4 linked regions of the Caenorhabditis elegans genome follow. The protein of the gene in region 2 interacts with the protein of the main gene of each other region in a pairwise test. Each region holds a gene or a part of one and is shown on either strand. Other genes may lie near its edges.

What was found.
Region 1: the proteins of abi-1 (region 2) and M04F3.5 interact in a two-hybrid assay, tested with the Caenorhabditis elegans proteins (2 studies listed by BioGRID).
Region 3: the proteins of abi-1 (region 2) and M57.1 interact in a two-hybrid assay, tested with the Caenorhabditis elegans proteins (2 studies listed by BioGRID).
Region 4: the proteins of abi-1 (region 2) and mig-10 interact in a two-hybrid assay, tested with the Caenorhabditis elegans proteins (4 studies listed by BioGRID).

Annotation. Positions count from the first base shown.
Region 1 is NC_003279.8:4,785,327-4,790,293, forward strand, and holds the start of M04F3.5 (IMD domain-containing protein), read right to left. Parts: upstream 3,033-4,967; 5' UTR 2,988-3,032; coding exon 2,980-2,987; intron 1-2,979. Other genes in the region: rpl-41.1 (60S ribosomal protein L41), read left to right, coding at 3,940-3,951, 4,024-4,080.
Region 2 is NC_003281.10:5,689,562-5,694,614, reverse strand, and holds abi-1 (SH3 domain-containing protein), read left to right. Parts: upstream 1-1,884; 5' UTR 1,885-1,908; coding exon 1,909-2,037; intron 2,038-2,084; coding exon 2,085-2,170; intron 2,171-2,216; coding exon 2,217-2,658; intron 2,659-3,149; coding exon 3,150-3,741; intron 3,742-4,225; coding exon 4,226-4,386; 3' UTR 4,387-4,508; downstream 4,509-5,053. Other genes in the region: B0336.13 (Transcription initiation factor IIA small chain homolog), read right to left, coding at 34-166, 281-567; arle-14 (ARF7 effector protein C-terminal domain-containing protein), read right to left, coding at 825-961, 1,036-1,360, 1,401-1,496, 1,545-1,601.
Region 3 is NC_003282.8:3,531,697-3,539,581, reverse strand, and holds M57.1 (SPK domain-containing protein), read right to left. Parts: upstream 5,942-7,885; 5' UTR 5,931-5,941; coding exon 5,788-5,930; intron 5,742-5,787; coding exon 5,628-5,741; intron 4,195-5,627; coding exon 3,925-4,194; intron 3,874-3,924; coding exon 3,760-3,873; intron 3,265-3,759; coding exon 3,004-3,264; intron 2,015-3,003; coding exon 1,901-2,014; intron 1,855-1,900; coding exon 1,149-1,854; intron 1,103-1,148; coding exon 890-1,102; intron 641-889; coding exon 578-640; 3' UTR 519-577; downstream 1-518. Other genes in the region: M57.2 (Geranylgeranyl transferase type-2 subunit alpha), read right to left, coding at 7,315-7,519.
Region 4 is NC_003281.10:8,277,388-8,282,137, reverse strand, and holds the start of mig-10 (Abnormal cell migration protein 10), read right to left. Parts: upstream 3,031-4,750; coding exon 2,957-3,030; intron 2,494-2,956; exon of another isoform or gene 2,402-2,493; intron 1,700-2,401; exon of another isoform or gene 1,563-1,699; intron 30-1,562; coding exon 1-29. UniProt on the Caenorhabditis elegans protein: Required cell non-autonomously for proper development of the excretory canals and for the long-range anterior-posterior migrations of embryonic neurons CAN, ALM and HSN.

The sequences.
Region 1 (4,967 bases), on a different chromosome or scaffold from region 2:
AAAACTGTGCATTTTTTGAAATTTTTTGTTCGTTTTCTTTAGATATTTTCACAGAATTAACTTTTCAAAATAGATGTAGGATGCGTACAATGTTGCCGATAATTTTCGGAAATTGCCGTTTTTCCGGCAAATTCGGCAATGTGCCGGAAATAGTCAATACCGGCAATTTGCCGATTTTCCGGAAATTTTAAATTCTGGCAATTCGCCGATTTGCCGGAAAAAAAATCGTTTGCCACCCCCGAATTGAGTCCCAGCCGCTACTGACAAATTGGCAAATTCTGATATTTAACCTCAAAATTAGGGCTGTACAACCGGACGTCCGGTCGTCCGAACCGGACGCACATGCGTCCGGTTCGGACGCAGTGCGTCCGGTGGTGTCAAAATCGGACGACCGGACGCCGATTTGTGCAACCCTACTCAAAATTGGCCTTTTTCCAAAAACTTTGAACGAACATACCCTTTTTTGAGAATTTTTTTCGGATTACAAAATTTGTTAGTTTTTGGCCATTTTGGGTAAAACCCCTTTTACGTAAAATTTTACTCTACTGCAGTAAACTGAAAAAAAGCGAGGAGAAGAAAAACAAATCAAAATGAGATAAATGTTGCAAAGTGAAGAAAAAAGCGAGATGAGGAGCAAGAAGAGGGGTCGGCAGCGGCGAAGGATAGTTGGCTACTAATGGGTTTCGCGGCTGCTAATATAAACAACGGCCACTCGAAACTTTTAAGATTCAAGAAACAAGGAGAAGATGAGGGACAATGTCTTCTTCTTTTTCTTTTCCAAATGCCCCTTCATATCCTTCTGGACACCACCACCTATTTTCTGCAGCTGTCATACGGGGTGCGCGAGGTAAAATAACAGCTGTCGGGAAGAAAAAGAAGGTCGAAACACTGAGAAGTCCATCCGAGAATAAAGAAGAAGAGGGTCAACTGTGTGAAGAACAAGGGCTGTAATTTAGTTGAAAGATTTTCTGAAGAATTTCTCCAATGCGGGAATATAGCTGGTTGGTGCCAAAAAATGGGCATAATTACATGTAGGCCAACAGGAAACAGCTGTTCGGTCTCAAAAAGACAAGGAGGAGCATCCTAGGACATAAAAATTATAATGAGGCTAGGATGGGTCATATAGGCTAGGCGGCAACTTTAGAACCTAGCAGTTGCTATTTATTTTGTTTTTGATCCTTGAAGGTGTGTTTTTTAAATCAGTTCCAAAATTAAATATTTTTAGCAATATTAGTAACAATTATATTTTATTGATTTGGTATTACAAAAAAAAGAAAATTTGCGCCAAAAATACTACTGCAACCGGTTTTGACACGAAAAAAAAACGATTTGTAATTTTTCTAAATGTTTAATAACTGTTTTGTTTTAGTGTCTTTAATGAATAAATCTATTTTTAAAGAACAACTATGAAAAATCCATGAAAAATTTGTAGCAACGAAAGTTTGAAGCCACAGTACACTTTAAAGGCGCAGTTAACCACGAATCACAACATATCGCCCTAACACGGGAAAAATTATGTGCAATAAATATGACGAGTATTGCCCAATTCGTAATGCAATAAAAAAATTTCAATTAAAAGTGTACAAAAAGCGGAGCGACGACGGGTATGCCGGTGAAAGGCGGTGGTCTCTTCTTCCACGCGCCAGGATGCAACAAAAAGTAGTTTAATATGTACTATTCGTTTTCAATGATCGAACACACTCACTCACATCCGCACACACACAAACCGATTGATCCATTCAGGAGTATTGGGTGGAAGGAGAAGCAACGGATAGATATACGGCTATATATCAACGAGTGCGTCTACTACAACTACGTCAGGCGCCTGTGAATCGGTTGATCCAACTTTTTTCTTCAAAAAAATCGTTGGTATTATTAGGTTTTATGGACAATTTAAAATTGGCGAATGGCAGATTATATCTAGAAAATTGGTTAGGAATTGAGATAATATCGGAAATTGACACATTGTTTCTAAAAATATACTCTTAAATTTCGGTTTTCTAGATTTCATTTTTGCCTAGACTAACTCGAAATAATTTGAGACAAACGACCAAAATATACAATAAAGGATGGCAATTGAAGGTTGAATTCCAACTGCTCTGACGCGGAAAAGTTGGAAAAATTTCAGATTTTTACTGAAATTAGCTTACTATAAAATAGTCCTCGAACGAATTTCTTGAAAAAAAGTTATATATTTTATAATTAATAAATTAAATTAAAATATTTTCTTGCAATTCTCCATGAATGATAAGCCGGAACACTTTTCATCATCTTTTTATGTGAAAATCGATTCGCCGGTCAAGAATTGATCTCGTGACGAACACAAGAAAATATATTTGATAAATAAAATATTCAATCAACCTCAAAAAGTCTTTGCGAAGACAGATTGCGTAAGATTAATTGAAAATGGACGGAAGAACACGGAACGCAGCGGGAGAGGGCGGCCGATCCTTGCGATTTGAATTTATATATGTATATGTATGAATTATAAACGTAGCAGCAACGAAGATTTTGATTTTAGCCGGCTAATGGTCGGATTATACCGCCAGGCGCCACGGCTAACAGACACACAATGACAGTCGGTGGAGGTCATCTGATGAACGAGTGCGATTTCGAACGAACTGACGGATTGGATGAATAGAGGGTAATTAGATGGAATACATACATATTGACAGAAATAGACTGACTCTTTCTCTATGTCATCAAATACGAATAAACATGCACTATGTGTGTTGTGTACGGAAAGAAGCATTAATTGAGCTTTGGGTAACCATCCACCGGCTCACGTAACAAATTGGTTGGGCAGATGGGGGAGCACCTACTGGAGGTGTGCATAAATTATTCATTATAAGACGATTATTTCTATGACTTATTGAATTGAAGGCTTATCGTACTTTAGCTTAAACATTTAATTGAGGGAAACCGGGGGCTAAACCTCGGATTATGCGATTTTTTAAAATTTCAGTATAAAAAACTCACAGCTCCATTGTAGAATCCTCCGATGCCTTGTTAGTTGTTCGCAATTTGAATATCTGAATAATCAACTTTGAAATTACAAAAAATCCGTGTTAAAACGCGTTTTATCGAACGAAAAAGCAAGAAAAGAAGATTTGTGAAAGAAACCCGGATAAATTGGCCAACAAATCACCTCGGAGTTAGTTTTCTGTCTATTTAAGGAAAGGAAAATGAGTTAAAATGAAAATACATCGATTAAATGAAACGAAACACAATTTCCCAGTCAAATTTAAATTTAAAACTTCAATGCTTCCGCTCACTTTCTCTCCGTCTCCACTCACGTATCAATAGAGCGCGTTGTCATAACTCCGCCCCTTTTAAAATATATTTTATTTTCAAAAGTTCCCTAGAAGAATGCTTTTTACTAATTCATTTATTTTATCTTTCCAATTATTATTTTAGCTGAAAAACTGGAATTTCATTTAAATTTTCCTATAAATATCCAGCTCTATGCTTTGTTTCTTCCTTTTTGTAATTTCTGCAGGTTTATGTTACTTTTTTGAACATTTTTAACTGGTTTTATTTCGAACGAATACGCATTTAGATTCCAGGAAATGTTACAGCAGACTAAGATGTTTATCAACTAGAAAATTCTGATTAATCAATATTTACTCATGCTGCAAAAAAAGTTTTTTGAATTTCGCTCGCAAAGGTCGCATTTTCGTTGCAAGACCCATCACACAGCTATGAGAACACTTTCCCCGCCACCTGATGCACCAGTCTCTCCGCTCTTTGCAACGAGATTTGTTTTGTCTTCGATGTGGCCTTTCTCTTCATTTTCAGACCGTTTCTCTAACTCTAATGGTTCCTTCAATGAATACTGCAACCGCTTTATTTCTCTTGTTGTGTGCTCATATCATATTAATCGTTAAAACAACTTTTTCAGTCTTCGTTCACGGACACCCGTCGCGGAGATCGTCAAACATGAGAGAGAAGGTAGGTACTACGTTCAGAAATGTTTATAATTTAATATTAATAAGATTTGTGTACTACATTATTTTATTTCAGTGGCGTAAGAAGCGTATGCGTCGCCTGAAGCGCAAGAGGAGAGCCGCAAAGAAGTAGACAAGCTGCTTCATCTCCAAGACGTCAAATTATGCTGCCGATCTGTGATCTCGACTTCACCGTCTTCTCCACAATTGTCAACTGGATTACTCGTCTTCTTGTGCTTCTCATCGTGAAATAATCATCCTACAAAAGTTATTGCAATTTTCTTTTTTAAATCCAATAAATAATTGTTTGTCCAAATAATAGTACTTTGTTACAAAGCCTGAAAGAAAAACTATGGGAACTCGTGCGTCCAAGATTCTGGTTAAGGTAAATCGTCAGTCGAACTTTCATTGTCATTTGTTGGATTATCTTCTTTGGGCTCGCATTCGAAGCTGTTTTATTTAGAACTCTCCTGGTCTAATAAATTAATATTTTCACAGAATTATCTGACGAAAATTAAGAAAAGTGTCTCGAGACTTCCAGAAAATTGACCCAATTTTTTAATAGCAAAAAATAATCACAAATATCCTGAAATTTAAGTGAAAATGTGAGCATTTTACGTTCGAACGCGTTCAGGGCACAAAATCGATAAATTGTAAGAGATTCAGTGCTTTCGAGAGATCACAGAAAAGCGAGAGACGCAGAGAAACCGCTGCCCGCAAGAAAGGGGGAAACTCGGTTCAAATCGCGCGCCGGTCGCGTTTTCGTGGCGAGACCCGCCGCAGGACATGAACGAAATTCGCCGTTGTTCCTAAAAAATTTTCACTTCAACCAACGCTACGCGAATCGATGAGTTTTATTTTCTCGTTTGCCGTTGTTTTATTTTGGTTTTTCCTTGAAATGTAATCTTTTTGCAATCAATCTGAATATATTTTCTCAATATTTTCAAACTGATTTCGTTTTCTCTTCGCTTTTTCAACTGTATCCTCCACTTTCTTTTACTTAATGTATTATTTTCAGGC
Region 2 (5,053 bases):
TTAGAAAATGAAACAATGATTTGGAAAGTTCATCTAATCACTGTCATCATCTTCATCGTCGCCTGCAGCGGCCGCGTGAGCTCGATTGACTCTCTTGGATGGTCCCTGGGCGCTCAATGTCTGCAGAAGGCTTGTTTGACGACCATCACAGGCGACCACTTTCAGTCTGAAATATTAATAATTATAGATCATCGAGAAACAAAAATTTTTATAGAAAATTAATAAACAATTGCTTTTTTCTAGATTTTTTATTTTTAATACAAATAAAAGAAACACTCACTTATCAATAGGCTCATCAAACGATCGCTGGGGATCTTTCAACGTGACATTATTGAGAATAAACGTCCAAACGTTATCACAATATCGATAAGTGAGCAGTTGTGTCGCACAAAAATTCATTTTCTCTTTTGGAAGCCGCGAGATTTGCTTGTTCATGCTTTTATCAAATTGTTGCAGAACTTTCGAAGCAAGAGATTTCGTGAGAAGTCCTTCGGATTCCATGTCCTCAAGAGTTTTATCGAGTGCCTGACCCAGTGTGGTCCCTCGGTAAAGAGCGTATGACGACATTTCTGGAAGATTCTGAAATATCGTTGGATTAAATTTTTCTCGAGAAGATGCCAGATATATTTTCAGATTATCAACCGAGAAACTATGGATTAGTATGACAAAAAAGAACAAAAACAAACAATATCTTTAGTTTTTAATGAACATCGAGATTGAATTTTTCACAAAGACATGTATAAAACAGTTCAAAATAGATAATACCAGTACAAGAAAAAGGGGAACATACATAAGAGGTTAAAATTGATAAAACGATAAGGCATTTAATCCTTGATTTGGCCCGGAAAATAAGGATTAATATTGACAACAGGGCCCGGGGCTTCCGTCACTGTGTACATCTCCTCGACGCGTATCACCATTTCTTTTCGATTTTGACGACATCCGATGAGACATTTGCGAGCTGAAAAATGCATTTTTCTTTGTTTAAAGAATTTTTAGAACAAATATTTTTAGTTAATGAATATCATCTCTTACATTTGCACTGCTTACATGGCCAATGGCACCCATCACACTCCACCACGAGACAATCACAAAGATCGAAAAACAAAGTCTGTCCTTTTGCGGTAACCGAAAGTTTTCCTGTTTTGTCATGATGCAAAGGTTCGTCTCTCAGATCCGCCTGCTTCTCCGCGGCTACACGTTTCGAGCGGTTGGTGCTAATAATATCCACAGAGTCGGGCAAAAATCGAGACATTTCATCTCCTGGATTCGCGAACTGGAGGCCTTGAAGCTCTCGGTGTGCCATTCTCGTTCGACGGCTCGTTCCTGAACTTTCCTTTCGAGATGATGGCTGCAACTTCTGGGAACTTTGTTAAAATTTTCTTTATTCAAAAGCGTACCTTTGTTTCGAAATCGTCAAAAAGCTCCGCATCGACTTCATCGCAAATCTCGGAATCTTGTTGCATTTCACTATCCGTCGAGAAATCATTTTCAAGCTGAAAAAAATACAAAAATTAAATACATTAAAATTTCAAATTTCAAACCTCTGCTGCAGCTTTCGCCAGACCGGCAATTTGTGCGAGAACGTCATTGGAGCTCATTTTTAGAATTATTGGTTCAGAAATTTAGTAGGAAATATGATTTATATCGATTTAATTTGAATATATCCGAGGAAATTCTATTATTCGATATGCTCTCCTCGCGGGAAATAACATGTGCGTACCACTTGCGAAAAAGCGCGCCGCGCGTTGCATTCTGTGACCACGCCCTCATTAATTTCTTATTCATTCAGTTCCTTTGAGTGTTTTTCATGAAATTTCTGCTGTCAATTTATTATTTTTAAAATATTTTTCTAAACGTTAGTTAACTTTTAGTTTGTTACAGATGCTACATAATGGGGAAGGCGGAATGAGTGTTAATGATCTTCAAGAGCTCATCGAGCGACGGATACCCGATAATCGAGCTCAACTGGAAACGAGTCATGCGAATCTTCAACAAGTTGCCGCGTATTGTGAGGATAATTATATACAATCAAACGTGTGGTTTAATTTTTTCTTTTAAGTTTATGAATTAAACGTTTTCAGAATAAATCTGCTGCGCTAGAGGAATCCAAGAAATTCGCGATCCAGGCACTCGCCAGCGTAGCCTACCAGATTAACAAGATGGTTACGTAAGTATTTCAATTAATTTGTTTTAATTATGAATCTTTTTTTCAGAGATTTACACGATATGCTTGCTCTACAAACCGATAAAGTGAACTCTTTAACAAATCAAGTTCAATATGTTAGCCAAGTAGTTGATGTACATAAAGAGAAGCTTGCAAGACGAGAAATTGGTTCTCTCACAACCAATAAAACATTATTCAAGCAACCCAAAATCATTGCACCAGCAATCCCAGATGAAAAGCAGAGATATCAACGAACGCCCATCGATTTTTCTGTTCTTGACGGAATAGGGCATGGTGTCAGAACATCGGATCCACCGAGAGCAGCACCAATCTCAAGAGCAACTTCATCAATTTCTGGCAGTTCTCCATCACAATTTCACAATGAATCTCCAGCGTATGGAGTTTATGCTGGTGAACGAACGGCTACGTTAGGAAGAACAATGAGACCGTATGCTCCATCAATTGCTCCATCGGATTATCGGTTGCCACAGGTGAACATTTGAAATATTCATAGAGGCTGAAAATAATTTGCTTTTCGTGTTTTTGACAAAACGTTTTCAAAAAAAAAAGGGAGCGAAAAATTCTGACATAACTTATACATTTTAAATTTTAAACTTTTTTTTCTGAAAAATACACTCAATATTGAAAAAAAAGTGAACCATTGATAAATTTATTCAAAAAACGGTTTTTTTGACCCAAAACGACCGCATTTCATAATGAGACTTCTGAAAATATCGAAAAAAAATTTAGAGCGAGCCTGAATAAGAATCTGAAATCCTTGTTACAGCAGTTAGATACAGTATTTATTGAATAATCACATAATTAATTTTGAAATTTTTTAGAAGTCTTTTTATGAAATTCAATGTTTCAGGCTAGTTTTTGTCGACTTCAGACTAAACAACTAATTTTTAAAAAATCAGCTCATTTCCTTTTCAAAAAATTAATCAAGTTTTTTCTAACATAATCCGATTACTTTTTACAGGTCACACCACAATCAGAATCACGAATCGGCCGTCAAATGAGCCACGGATCAGAGTTCGGAGATCATATGAGCGGTGGTGGTGGAAGCGGAAGTCAACACGGATCATCAGACTATAATTCCATTTATCAACCTGATCGTTACGGAACTATTCGAGCTGGTGGTCGGACTACAGTGGATGGTAGCTTTTCTATTCCCAGACTATCATCTGCACAAAGTAGTGCTGGAGGTCCAGAATCACCAACATTCCCACTTCCACCACCAGCTATGAATTATACTGGATATGTTGCACCGGGAAGTGTGGTACAACAACAACAACAACAACAAATGCAACAACAAAATTATGGAACTATTCGAAAATCAACGGTGAACCGACATGATCTTCCACCTCCACCAAATTCTTTGCTCACTGGAATGTCAAGTCGAATGCCAACACAAGATGATATGGATGATCTACCACCTCCACCAGAATCAGTTGGTGGGTCATCAGCGTATGGAGTGTTTGCTGGTAGAACAGAATCGTACAGTTCGAGTCAGCCACCAAGTCTCTTTGATACGAGTGCTGGATGGATGCCCAACGAGTATTTGGAAAAAGGTATTTTTGGAGATTTTAATTTGATTGAAAAATTGTCGGAAAAAAATTCTCTAAGCTTTTCTGTATTATTTTACGATTTAGAAAATTGGCTAAAATTGTTAGTGAAAAATTTATTATAAAAACCGAAAAAAGTTTAAAAAAATTAAATTTAATAAAAATTTAAAAAAGAGAAAAAAACAAAAAATTTTGTGATATTGGAAAGTGATTTTGAAAAATTCAAATATCTCCAAATTTTTTTTTTTTGAGAATTTTCAAATTTTGAAAATTATAAGCTTTGATTTTTTAAAAAGTTATCTTTTTAGCTTTTATTTTCGAAAAAAACGAAAAATAAATTTCCTTTAAAAACATCGGAGTATCAAAAAAATCCAAAAAGAATCGAAATCTTAAGTTGTAAAATGCGATTTTTTGCAGAATTTTTAATGTTACAAAGCAATTATATTTGTCAATTTAAACATTTTCGAAAAAAACCAATCTTTTTTTTCAGTACGGGTCCTGTACGACTATGATGCTGCAAAAGAAGACGAGTTGACACTTCGCGAGAACGCAATTGTCTACGTACTGAAAAAGAACGATGACGACTGGTATGAAGGTGTCTTGGATGGAGTCACTGGGCTTTTCCCTGGAAACTACGTAGTTCCAGTATGATAACAAGAAATGCTAACCCTGCTAAATCAATTGCTTTTAATCTCACTTTTATTCATATTCATATATTGCCTTTTGCCTCGAGTACTTGTATGTGAAAAGCCAAAAATAAACGATGGATATGTAATCATGAAGGAAGCAGTGGTCCCCTCGTTTGCAGCAGTGAGAAGCCTAAAAATAGCCAATACGACTGCTATTTTCGAGTCTCGACGCATTTCCTGAACGCATGTGCTCGTTCTCTCACTGCCCCCGTACTACTCTCTTTTGGTTTTCCTAGGGGCTCGCCTATTTAATGAGATTGCTCATTTTCTCTTCATGCACACACATTCATTCATTTTCTTATATTTTTGTGCCTTCTTATTTCTTTTCCTCTCCTCTCTAGTTTATTTTTTCTTCTATTTTAGAATTTTAAATAATTCATGTTCGGCACGACGAATAGTGACGCCAAAGAGTTTGCAAGGCGTGGGAATTGTATCTTTTTTGGTGGGCGGTGGACACAGATTTTCTTAGAGGAGGAACAAAGGTCAAAAATACAAGCAGAATTCTTGAACAGTTGAAATTCCCGCGCGATTTCCAATAAGATGACTTGGATCGCGGTGGGACCTTAACTATTGCACAGACGCAAAATTTTGTCATTTTTGCGCCAAAATACGGTACTCGGTCTCGACAC
Region 3 (7,885 bases), on a different chromosome or scaffold from region 2:
TTTGTAAAAAAAAAGAAAAAATTCTGAGGTTATGGGCTTTTTTGGGTATTAATAAAGGAACCCTGTCGTAACCGAATCGATGAACATTCTGAATTTCCCGCATATCATCCGTAGAGCGTCTTTGCACGTTCTGTCTGTACTCTCTTCTTTCTTTGCACTATCTCATTCTGCACCGTTTTGTGACCTGGACTCAAAAACAATATTATCGAAAAAATACGATCGCACAAATTTCTCATAATTAATTTTTGATCTACCTGTTTGCCCCAATCTTGTGTGCCCCAATCTTGGTGTCGTTGTTATTTTGTTGTGGCTGTTTTAGTCGAAGGGAGTCTAGTCAACAAGGTAGATCAAAAATAAATTATGAGAAAATTGTGAGATCGTGTTTTTCGATAATATATTACTAAATACATGTAAAATAAGTGTAGCTACACTTATTTTAAGAATGAATGATACGAATACTTTCTAGTTTCTAGAAGATTAAATTATTGATTTTTTGTGCAAGATAGAAGTTCGTGAAGTAGAGCAAGATTATTCATGTAAAAAATAAATAAGATATTTATGAAAAGTTTCAAGTTAATTAGCTGGAAACCGCAAAGAGAATGTTCCGAATACCTTGCTGAACATCGGCGACTAGGATAATCTGAAAATAAATTAGGGTTTATTTGACTAACGTAGGGCTTCCACGGTTTTAGAGCCTGATTCCTGCCCCTCGGTCTTTTGCCTTTTTTTTGTATTTTGACGTGAATTTACAAAAGTTTAATTTTCTTTTATCAATTTTATCAATTCGATATAATCAAAAGTATAAGGCGCGGGTTGAGACGAAGGTGAGGCAGGCAGGCGTTTAACGCCTACATGAAAGCCCTAGACCAACATGTTCAATGAAACATACCTTTTCTCCTATAACGTGACTCTCAATTTCTTCCGCAACCCTCTGTTGTATCTCCCAAAGCAAAGGGCTTCTGAGCCAAAGCAATGAATATTTGAAGATTCTCAGACACTCGTGTGATGATTTGTTTTCTGCTGACGCTGCGGATCGAGACTTGCGAGTGATTCCCAATAAGAACGTCTGCAAGGCAGTGATCACTAGCTCTGGTGGAAGAATCTGAAAAAAGTCCTGAATTTATTTCAACATTTGAAGTTCTAGCTACCTCATCATTTATTCGAACACGAATCCCTTCAATATCGTTTAACAAATCATCTAGAGTATCTGATTCGAGAGAAGTAAGAATGAGTTCTAACGAATTCAAGAATTTATGAAGCTTGATCTCGCCAGAATCAGTAATTACAGCTCCTTGCACACTTGATCCTATGTTCAAATAGGCAAGCTTGGTGTCTGGCTCAATACGGCGAATTTCTTGAATTGGAACATCTTCAATTTCTGAAGGAAAGTGTTGATTTTGAATGAAGATATCCTCGAATACAGGCTCCTGCTTTGGCTCGTCGTTAGACCACTCCTGTGCATTCGATGATGGACCGTTCGTCGTTAGATTACTCATTGCATTAAATGGATTTAATTGGGTATCTTGATCTTCATTGGGAGCCTCATCGTATGGCGCTACTTCTTCCACCTCAGCCGTGTCAGACAACTCTTTCTCCCCGATTTTGCGTCTCTTTTGGTACATTTCGTAGTAACTGTCCGACTTTCTTTTCCATTTCGCAACCAAACTCGTCTCATCCGTGACAGACCGAATGATTTTGCGTCTTTTTTGGTGCATTTTGTGGTAATTTGTAGATTTCCGCTTCTTCTTCTCAACCAATCTCGTCTCTCCTCCCAGTTCAATCTCTCCATCATTTGAAGTATATTTGACAATTAGCTGGTTTTTATCTAGTTGGACTTTGCCAGATGCTTCAATTCTGAAAACTCATTCAAGTGCATGGAATATGGAAATTCAACACTTACTGAGCAAGAAAATCAGATTCAACTTTGCCTTTCATTGCAAACATCATTCGGGTGCGCTCTTCGATTCTGTATTTGCTCCATTTACTCATATTTGGTGCCAGCTTTTTGTGAAATCTAGGATTTTCAAATTGTTTGAAATTGTCAAAAAAGAAATTATTTGCAACTTGGTGTAGTCAAAATGTTTTTCTTGTTTTATTATATTTAAAATTGAGTGAAAACACCGAATTTCATAATGAAACTTCTTGAAAACTTCTCAAAAAAATTAAGTGGCCACAAAAAAGTAACCTTCTACTTTTGGGTATTTAACTTTATTTTCTCGCGTTTTCAAATTGATTTAGGTATATTTAAAATTAATGAACCACCAGAAGTTACCAAATTTTATCACATCTGGCGATTCATCGACCCATCGAAATCAAGTTGGTCTAATTCAAATTTTTAACTAATTTTAGGTCATTTTTGAGACGCCATATTTTTTTGTTTGAGAAGTTTTCAAAAAGTTTCTCTATGAAATTCGGTGTTTTCAGACAATTTCAAGTCTAATCAAGCAATAAAAAAAATTTGCCTACACCACCTTTGATAACATTTCAAAAGTTTCAAAAAACTTGTTTCTTAAGTTGATAATATAGTTTCATTTGTTCGAAAAAATGAAAAACATATACAAAAATGGATATATATATATATATAAGTTTCAGCTTATAATTCTTTAGAAAACCATTGAAGTGAGCTACTGAATTTGAAGCTAAAGATTTGTACTTTTTTAAACAACTCACAAGTTGGAGTTTTAAAGAGGCTGGAATTTCAAAAGAAATACCGTATATTCTCTATTAGTGCTGCATGTATCACTAATTTCCAGGCCCTTTTTGAATGCAGCACTATTAGAGACTGCAGTACTGCTGGAGATGCAGCGCTAATAGAGAATATACGGCATTTGGAATCAAGGAATTTTTCACACAACTTGCTCTGCCAAACCTGCTGAAAGTTTCGGAGGGATCACAAATAACACTTTTTAATAGAACTAGTACTATGGTTTATGGAAGTCCGTTAATGAATATAAAGTCTTTCCTTGTTAGCATGTTTTTAATTCAAAAGACAGTACTTCTAACCTGCTACCATATCCATTTTCTGTAAACTTGCGACCTTCTTGGCGCTTGAATGCCTTCAATACTAAGGGCACCTTCATTGGTTCAACTGCATCTTTAGTCGTTTCGATAAGAAACTCCATGAATCTCGTGTATTCGGGACCTGTAGCTGGTTTTGACATAATATGACGACGAATCCCTTCCAATTTGAAATTTCCGTCGTTGGAGACATATTTTGTGATTCTTCTCTTATCATCCAATTGGACAGTTCCATGGGTTTCAATTCTGCAAAATAGTGTTTTTTGAAGTTTAAGGGGCTATTGTTACTTTATTAAACTCGAAATTGTCTGAAAACATCAAATTTCCACAATGAAACTTCCCAAAAAAATTTGGCGGCTCAAAAAATGACCTAAAATTAGTTAAAATGTGAAATTTGACAGACTTGTCAAGCGGCTGGAAACTTTTGGGTATACTAGTTAATTATTGAGCTTTTTCAAAAAGGCACGTGGTGTCAATTTAAGCCATTTTTGAGCCACCGTGACTTTTTAAAAGATGTTTGAAGAAGTTTCATTATGAAATTTTGTGTGTTTGAGACAATTTTGAATATAATAAGGCAATAGAAAATGTTTGACTACACCACTTTTAACAAAAAAGTGGTCAAATATATCGAAAATCCATGATTTATCGATTTTGTTTTAAAATTTGTAAAACCCGTTTTTTTTTTAATTTTTGATGTGCACAAAAAATCATGCACTGTTTAAAAAATCTTTTAAAACCTACGTCCTCAGAAAATCGTCTTCGATCTCACCACCAAACGCAAAGAATAATCGAACCCGGTCTTCAATACTGTAGTCACTATATTTATTCATATTTGGTGCCAAACTATAGCGAAATCTAAAATAAAATGATTTAAATACAAAAACTATATTGGTATGCCTATCTCACTTCCTATTATACATTTTGTCAGGATGTTTATGCCTCGGACCGGGCTCAAGTCGGCTAAATTCTTGAAAAATTCTTTTTGTCACCAGCAATGGTTCAATGACATCTCTAGTTTTTTCGATAAGGAAGTCCAAGAGCCTGACGAATTCGAGTCCTGTAGTGTCTATTGATAAACGTTCACGATCATCTTCCAAGGAAAATGTTCCGTCATTCGAGATGAATTTTGAGATTCTATGTTTTTCATTGAGCTCAACAGTTCCATGAGCTTGAATTCTGTAATTTATTTCAGATTTTATATCGAAAAGGTAAAAAATTCAACTTTTTTTTTCTAAATTTTATATGATTTTTTTGAAAATTGGAAAATTCTCAATTTGCCTATATTTCGATGTTTGATGGAACGCGCTTGCATTATTTTCATTTTTATTGATAGATTATTCTTTTTTTTTGCCTGATTTCTTGTGGTTTCAGGCTGTCCTATCGCACACTAAAGGCGGGAAAATATTATTTGAAGATGCGCATTTCGAGTAATTATTTTTTAATTTGAGCGCAAATTTTCGTGACATTTTTTATAATTTTTCAAATAAATTTAAAGTTATTTGAAAAATCGCTCTAAAAAACATTCGAAATGCGCTGTAACGGACGTCACAAATTTTCAAAAAATATTTTCCCGCCTTTCATCACGGAATTCTGGCTTCCCTCATAAATCGAAATGGCAGAAGTTGCCGAACTAGGCCATTTTGGGTCGGAGAGATTTTGTGTAGATTTACGGCGCGTTGCGTGTCGCGTCGCGTCGCGGCTCGTTTTAGTTGTAAAACTAAAGTTTGTTGTCCGCGTGGAGTACACGACTTTTCCACGCGTTGTCCGTCAGGCGATTGTCAATGGAGCGCGAAAATTCAATGAGAAAGGCCAGAACCCCGTGTTTCATGTACTGTGGAGCAATGGGACAACCTGACACCTCGTGTAATTTTTCATGTTTATTGTGTAATTTTACTGCTAATTTAGTAGAAAATTCAAGATAAACGTAAATTATTTTATAAGCGTCGGAATAAGAGCGACGTCAATCCTGAAAAAAAATTGATTTCACAGATTTGCTTGCATACTTTCTAATAAAAAATTTACATTTATCTTGAATTTCTCACTAAAATTTCCAGTAATATTACACAAAAAAAACCTGAAAAATCAATAAAAAATCACGTGGTGTCAGAATGTCCCATGTTGGGCTGATCTCCGAGAATTGCAGGAATTTAGACACATACTTCTAAATTGGTTTCGCATAGTTTAAAATTGTATTTTCTGTAGAACAAATTCCCGCATTTTTTGTAGATCAAGCTGCGATAGGAGTTTTGGCGGTAATTCAGAATTCGATGCAAATTGAAAAGTACCGTATATTCTCTATTAGTGCGGCACCCCACCACTCAACTTTGACAGCTCATATCTCGGTCACCTTTGATTTTGGTAAAAAGTCTTTAACTACGGAAATGTTTGTTAAAACTCCTTCTATGCTTAATGTTTTAAAAGGTCTTAATATCTTCAAAATCAATCAAGACATATGACGTCAAAGGTGAGCGATGGGGGTGCCGCACTAATAGAGAATATACGGTATCCGAATTTTAAAAAATTATATAAAATTTGGAAAAAAATAGTTTTTTACGATAATATTTGGTCACACTCTCCTCATTTTTCTCACCACCATTACTATTCCCCACCTTGTCAAAAAATCATCTTCAACTTTTCCACGTAATGCATACATCAATCGAATTCGTTCCTCAATACTGTACTTATTAAATTCGTTCATTTTCGGTGCAAAATGTGAGCAAAATCTAAACAAAAAAGTTGATGACAAAAGCCAAGTCCAGGTCTGTTTACCTTGGGTAACGCTTATCTTCCGGGATCAAACGACGATTGGGAAATTTTTTGAATACTTTTTTTGCCACCAATGGATAGATGGAATCCTTTGTCTGTTCCACTAGGAAATCCATGAATTCCGTGAGCTCGTCATTAGTGTACATCTTTTGTGATACTTAAACAAAGTACAATATTGAAAAGCAGTATGGCATTTTGATACTTGTGTAGTATACCTTTCCCGTAAATTTTAACCACTTCGAAAAAAAAAAATATATGTGACCCCTTTTTATTGCTTTATAACTTTTGAAATTGTCTGATAACACCGAATTTCATAATGAAATTTCTTTAGAAAAAATGTAGCGGCTTAAAAAATTACCTAAAATTTGTTAGTTTATAATCTGGAAACTAACTTTTTTGAAAAATCTTTTAATGGAAAACGTACTGGAAATATTTTTGGGTCATGAGGCATACTACTCAACTACCAAAACTTTGATCGTTTTTGTAAAAAAAAATCCTGAGTTAATGGGGTTTTCTTCGCGTTTTAAAATTTAATTAATAAAAGAACAGTGTCGTAACCAAATCGATGAACATTCTGAATTTCCCGCATATCATCCGTAGAGCGACTTTGCACGTTCTGTCTGTACTCTCTTCTTTCTTTGCACTCTCTCATTGTGTGAAGAAAAAAAATTGTTAATTTTGTGGGCGTGGCCTATTTCTGTGGAACTCTGTTCAAACTTTTAGAATCAGAAGATCCGAATTTTGTGTAATTTTTCAGAATTTTTTTGGAAAATGTATATTTTGTGGACGTGGCCTATTTCTATGCGCCTTTAAAGTCGCTATTTAAAACTAGAAAAATGGAGAAAATCAAGTTTTTAAAAATTTTTGAGAAGAAACGAAAATTGCCCATTTTGTGGGCATGGCCTATTTCTGTGCGCCTTTAAAGCCGTTTGAAAATTTGAAATTAGAAAAACCGAATTTTTGAGTCTTACAGATTTTTTTCGAAACATTTCCATGGGCGTGGCCTGCGAAGCTCCGCCCACGTTTCTGATTATTTTTGTGGATAGTGATTTTCGGGGATCTGAAAACCTGAAAATACGCATTTTTTCAGCGGGGACTGGAAAATGTGAAAATTTCGAAATTGGAAAATCACTTGCGGGGAACCAGAAACGCGAAATGTTAAGCGATTTCCATGATTTTTGTGGAAAAAGCACGAAAATTAAGCAAAATTCGCCATTTTTTGCAAAAGGGAGAGTTTACCAAAAGAAAATACTGAAATTTATATAGAAAAAATCAAAAATCGATAATGTATCATACATACATGTTGTGTATTGAGCGAGAGACAAGGAGAGAAGTAGTTTATTACAAGAAGTGTAAGAAGTAAATGAATTATAAAGAGAGGTCGCTTACGCGATAAGTTCATGATGACCCAAAGGTCACGTCTGTATAAAGTTCAGGTTTACGTTCCGTCCACAACAATACATAAGAAGAACAGGTAATAATTAAGAAATATCACAAAAAAAAAGGTGAAAAAAATTCCGAAAAATGTCTTCACAACCAGTGCGGAATGAGACGAACTCCAGGGAGCTGAGCACGAAGTTCTTCGGTTTTTTCAACGAGCGGAGTTTCACAGAAGACAAGACGATCCAGAGAGGGAATTGTCTGGAAGAAGGGCATCACGGCGGAGACAGAGGCGATTTGAGTGCCGGCAATTGAGAAGAATGTCAGATGGGATAGGCATGGGCTCGGTGGGAGGCTGGAAATTTGAAATTTATGGGATTTTTCAGAAAAATTTTGATTTTTGGGGGAAACCCGATTTTAATGCTGAAAAAAATTGATTTCTCCACAAAACTATCGATTTTCTATTACAATACCTGGGTTTCAAATATTGATTTTTTTTTTGGCAAATTGCCGTTTTTTCCCCAGAAAAAAGGTCATATTGGTATCGATTTTTTTCAGCAGATTAGTAATTTTTTTGTAAAAAAAGATAGATTTTCCCTGGCGGAAATATCGATTTTTCTTCAAAATTATAGTTGATTTTTTCGATTTTTAATGAATTATGGATTTTCGGCTGATTTTTTAATTTTTTTTTCCAAAATTATCGATTTTCCCAGCGGAAATA
Region 4 (4,750 bases), 2.6 Mb from region 2:
GTGGTAGAAGACTTGAGAGCAGGGAAATGCTGTAAAATGAATGGAATTTATTGGGAATGCTTTCATGTTTACATAAACGAGAATGCATTCTTTAAGTGGATCAATTTGAAAAATGGAACACATCAATGGAATTTAGAAATTTGTTGTGTTTCTCTTAGAAAGTAATTTTGTTAGAAACCTCTCCAAATGGGAAAAACTCAAATATCATAGTAAATCTTTTCAAAAAACTTGTCTGAATTTTTAATTCAAATTGTGTTGTGAAAACTTAGTTTGCACCTATCATAATTTCAAGTGTGGCAGATTTTTGTTTCTATGAGTTTTTATACTTTAATTGCCTTTTTTTTTATTTGCATATATTGCTCTATTTCAACATTCTGAGGACGAACCAATGCTCGAAATTACTTAGAATGCCCATATTTTTGGAACATTTCGTAAATTACCAAAACATTGAATGTAAGTTTTTTAAAAATTGAAAAAAGGGCTTTTCTGAATCAACTTCTCTATTTTGAATTCACATTTAAAATTGAAAGAATATTTCAAGTTTCTAGAATTGAAAAGTAGATGGCACTTCATAAGAAAAGAAAGAGGAACAGGGAACAATCTGCCAACATTTTTGATGAATTGCTCCCAAACAAAGAGTGAACGACAGCATTTTGATGGACAAAGAGAGAGTCAAAGGGGTCAAGAAAGTGAACATACTCTACCATGACAAGGCTGTTCTCTTCTGGTGATTCAAAACTGAAAGGTTTGAAGCAATTCGAAACTGACGGAAAGGACACGCTCCGGTAAAAACGATGAATGAACATCAGAAATGGAACACACATGGCAACAACACGGACCGATGAACACCTGGCTAGCCACGAGGATTTGCCGGATTTTCGAGGATTTTAGTTAGTTCATAAACAAATTGGGGTTTGGATGGTGTTAATTAGAAATTTTTTGATAGTTTTTTGTAGAGAGGGCTTGAAAACGTTATTGAAAATCCATGTGAGCTATATAAAGTTTTTTCAACTTTTTGATAGATGATTTTCTGGTTAATGTTTAATCTATGACTTGTATATTTTTGTTGTTTTTTCTATTTTTTCTATTTTTCACAGTACAAAATTATTTTTAAAAAATCTATTTAGAGATTCAGGAGAAATGATATCAATTTTGGCAAACTTTCATAACTTTTAGACGCCATTGCGAAATTTTACTAATGGTTATTGAAAAATAATCGTTTCGCGGACTTGAAGTTATGTAGCTCTTTCTTTCTTGTCATTCTTGAAAAAAATTCACCAATTTTCTCCGTTTTTCTTCCAACTTACTTAGTATCTTGGTTACCTTTTCCTAGACCTCCCCGACTTTCAAACTTAATTAGACCACACTTGCAACTATCTTTAAAAATTCAGAGAATTTCACTTTCATGGCCAAGAGCAGCAATAAAAGTCAGAAAAGTGAAAGAAAAGAGAAATAGAGTGCAACACAGAAACAAGAATGGACAAGAGAACGGACAACCCATTGTTTCAGAATGTCGTTCCTTTTCTCTGTGTCTCTTTTGAATTCATACACATGTTCCATGAAACATGCTCGCGCACAGATTGAAATGAACAGAAAGAGACGAGGAAGAGTGCGAATGATTTATTCATCAATGCTCTGGTATGTTCAGAGCTTTGCAACAAATGAAAAAGAGCACAAATGGAACATTTCTGAATAATATTGATTCGTAACTTAACTTTGCTTCATAACTTTAGAACATCTTGAAAAAATTGCACAAAAAAGAGTTTTGTCTGTCGTTTGGGAAGTAGAGTTGCGTTGTGGAGACATTATTTTTCCTAGGGCTGAGTAAGGCTGAGTAATCTAGTATCCTACCAAATAATTTAGATAATTTTTTAAAAAGGCTGCGGTTTCTTTGGAGAAATTACATGAAATAAAAAGTTCTGAACACTTCAACACACATTCAAAAGTTTTGTTACATTCCGATCTAAGCTATAAGTCATATTTTTGGAAAACCAACAAAAAATTCTGAACGAAAATCCAGTAGGTTTCAAGGAAAACCGTACAGCCAACAAGAAAAGATCATAGAAAATCACATCTGGATGGCCTTCCGTTCTATTTCTTTTGCCGGATTGTCACTAAATCATCTGCGAATGATAAATGACCGTAACCAAAGAAAACTAATCAAGTGTATAGAATACGGGAAATGAGGTCATTGGAAAAAAGGCCTAACTGGAAATTAGGCTGAAGCTACTGCTAATACTAGTGTTACGAAACACGACAAGAAAAAGTAATCAATTCAGAAGCATCGCCAATAAACCAACAAATAGAACATATAATCAAGTTATCTGAATGCACGAGATAGGCGTAAAGGACGTACGAACATGCCAGCTTAGAGATTATAGGAAATTGTGAGTCACAGACAAAAACGCAAGTTGAGATAGCAATCTTTTGCTCGATGAGGGTGAAGGTCCGGTCAACTGATGACCACTAAAGATAGACACAACATACTACCAAAGCTTTATAAAAACGAATAATTGGAAAAATAGGAAAATTTGTTAGCGATAAGAAAAATTTGAATTATCCAAATGTGAATGTAAAGATAGCCTGCCAAATTTGAAAAAAAAACGCATCTTTGTGAACATTTTACAAAACTACAATAAAGATGGTTTAGCTTTTGTCAAAACATACCAACAAAAAAAACACTATAATTTTCGAAACACTAAATGTTTTATGATTTTTGGAAAGTTTTATTTTTCCGTTCTTCAAACTATTCAGTGACTCGATTTTTTTCCAAACCTTTTTTCTATAAAATAAAAAACTTTACCCATTTTCCATTTAACATCTAAACGTTTCAAATTGGCTAAGATCAAACGGCAAACACTTGAAAAGTGTGCATAAGGTAATTACGAGAAACCATTTGGGAGTCAAGTGTTTACGGACCACTGACATTTCTTTGGTTACCACAATAAGAACTCACCACTTTTCACCAAAAAGTTGATCTTCTTCGTCACTGTCAACTTCCAGATCGCATTCCTCTTCGCAACTGTCCATATTGGCTGAAATTTTGGAATTCAATCTTGAATAAATGTAACAAAAAGAAAATGGATCTTCTGAGACACAAAGTTTACCGGAAATGTACATGTAGCTTTGTTTTAGAGTTGAAACTTGAGAAGTCGTATAAGAAAGAAGGAAAAAATTGGAAGGGAAAGGAAAACTTTAAGGGGTCAAAAACCTTTTTTAAAGAAAAAAAACTGAAAAAATTCGTCAAATCAAAAAATCTAGCATCAAAAATTGCTCGTTTTTCGACTTTTAGAAATATCCAAAGTATTTGCCCAAACTTGCGCAAATAATATTTGTATACTAAATTCTGAATATCTAGTTTTCAATCAGCAGGAAACAGACTTTTATTGAATTTTTTTCATAGATTTCTCTAGTTTATTGTCACAATAAATCCACTTTTTCTAGTCTTAAAAATATGTATTGTATGTAGAACAATCTTTTTATTCTCAAGTTAAAAAATTATGAACCCTTGCAATCTAGAAAAAATTCAAAACACGACTTGTCAAGCTAATCCAAATAAAACAATAACAAAAACAAAATTGAGATTTCCGCTCTCTAAATACCGTATTTTCCTATGTTTGAACCACACTACTCTACATTGACGGCTTATATTTCAGTGGTTTAAGCTCAACGAAAAACTGTTCAACTATACAAATATAGCAAATTATTTGACACCTACTTTTACAGTTTAAAATGTCTCAATAAAATATAAGAAGACCGAGATATTTATGAGTTGTTAAAGTAGAGCAAAGTGATGCAAGGCCAAATTTGAGTGTGTGGTCTAAAGTTTTTAAGACAGAAGGAAAACCCAATTGACCACTAAATAATCTACACCAAATTTTCTTCCGTCTCCTCGAAAAAACAACAACATCTGCATAAAAAAGTGATTGACCTTCCCTCTGTCGGGATCGTTGCTAACAAAGTGCAAAAGCGATGATACAAGTCAAGGGATACCCCCCTCCCCCGCACAACAACAAGAAAGAATAAAAAAGAAGGCGGGGACAGCAAAGAGGGACACATATATCTCTTCCGCGCGGAAAGAAAGCGGCAAAAACGTACTAATGCGCGAGAAAAGAAGCAGAAGAAGCATATAATGACCTTTTTATGATAAAGTCTCGTGGGACAACCGGACCATCAATATGGTATTGAGTATAGAATATGCAAATTTTGGTTGAATAGAAAAACGAAGAGAAAATGGAACAGAAGGAGAGTTCAGAGTGCGCAAATAATGGAAGGAACGCGCGTAATCTGGAAGAGTTGACATAAAAAATAAGAGGATTATTCATAATTGAGTCGCTCGGCACGATACGGTAAGGAAACTATAATGAAGAAGATTACAAGACAATCAAAACTAGAACTTTTAAAAAAGTTTTCAGAAAAACTTGGTAGCAGTAAGGTAGTTATAGGTAAGTAAGGTATAGAGCACATTCTGAAGTTGGAAATTTCAAGTTTTTTTTTTTTTGAAAAAAAAGTGAAGTTTCTGCTGAAACCATAGAAAACTATAGTTCAAATTTCCCGAAAATAATTACAGTTAGCGTCGCCAAGTTTAGCCAAGATAAATGAGTATTTTATGCAAGAATTTTTGTAAAACTTCCAACCGAAAAGCTATTTGTACTTCAAAAATGTTTATTCAACTCACCCTCCATTATGTAGATGAGTTGATGGTTTTTCACAATTGGAATGAACACATAGTAAGACTACTCTACAGATA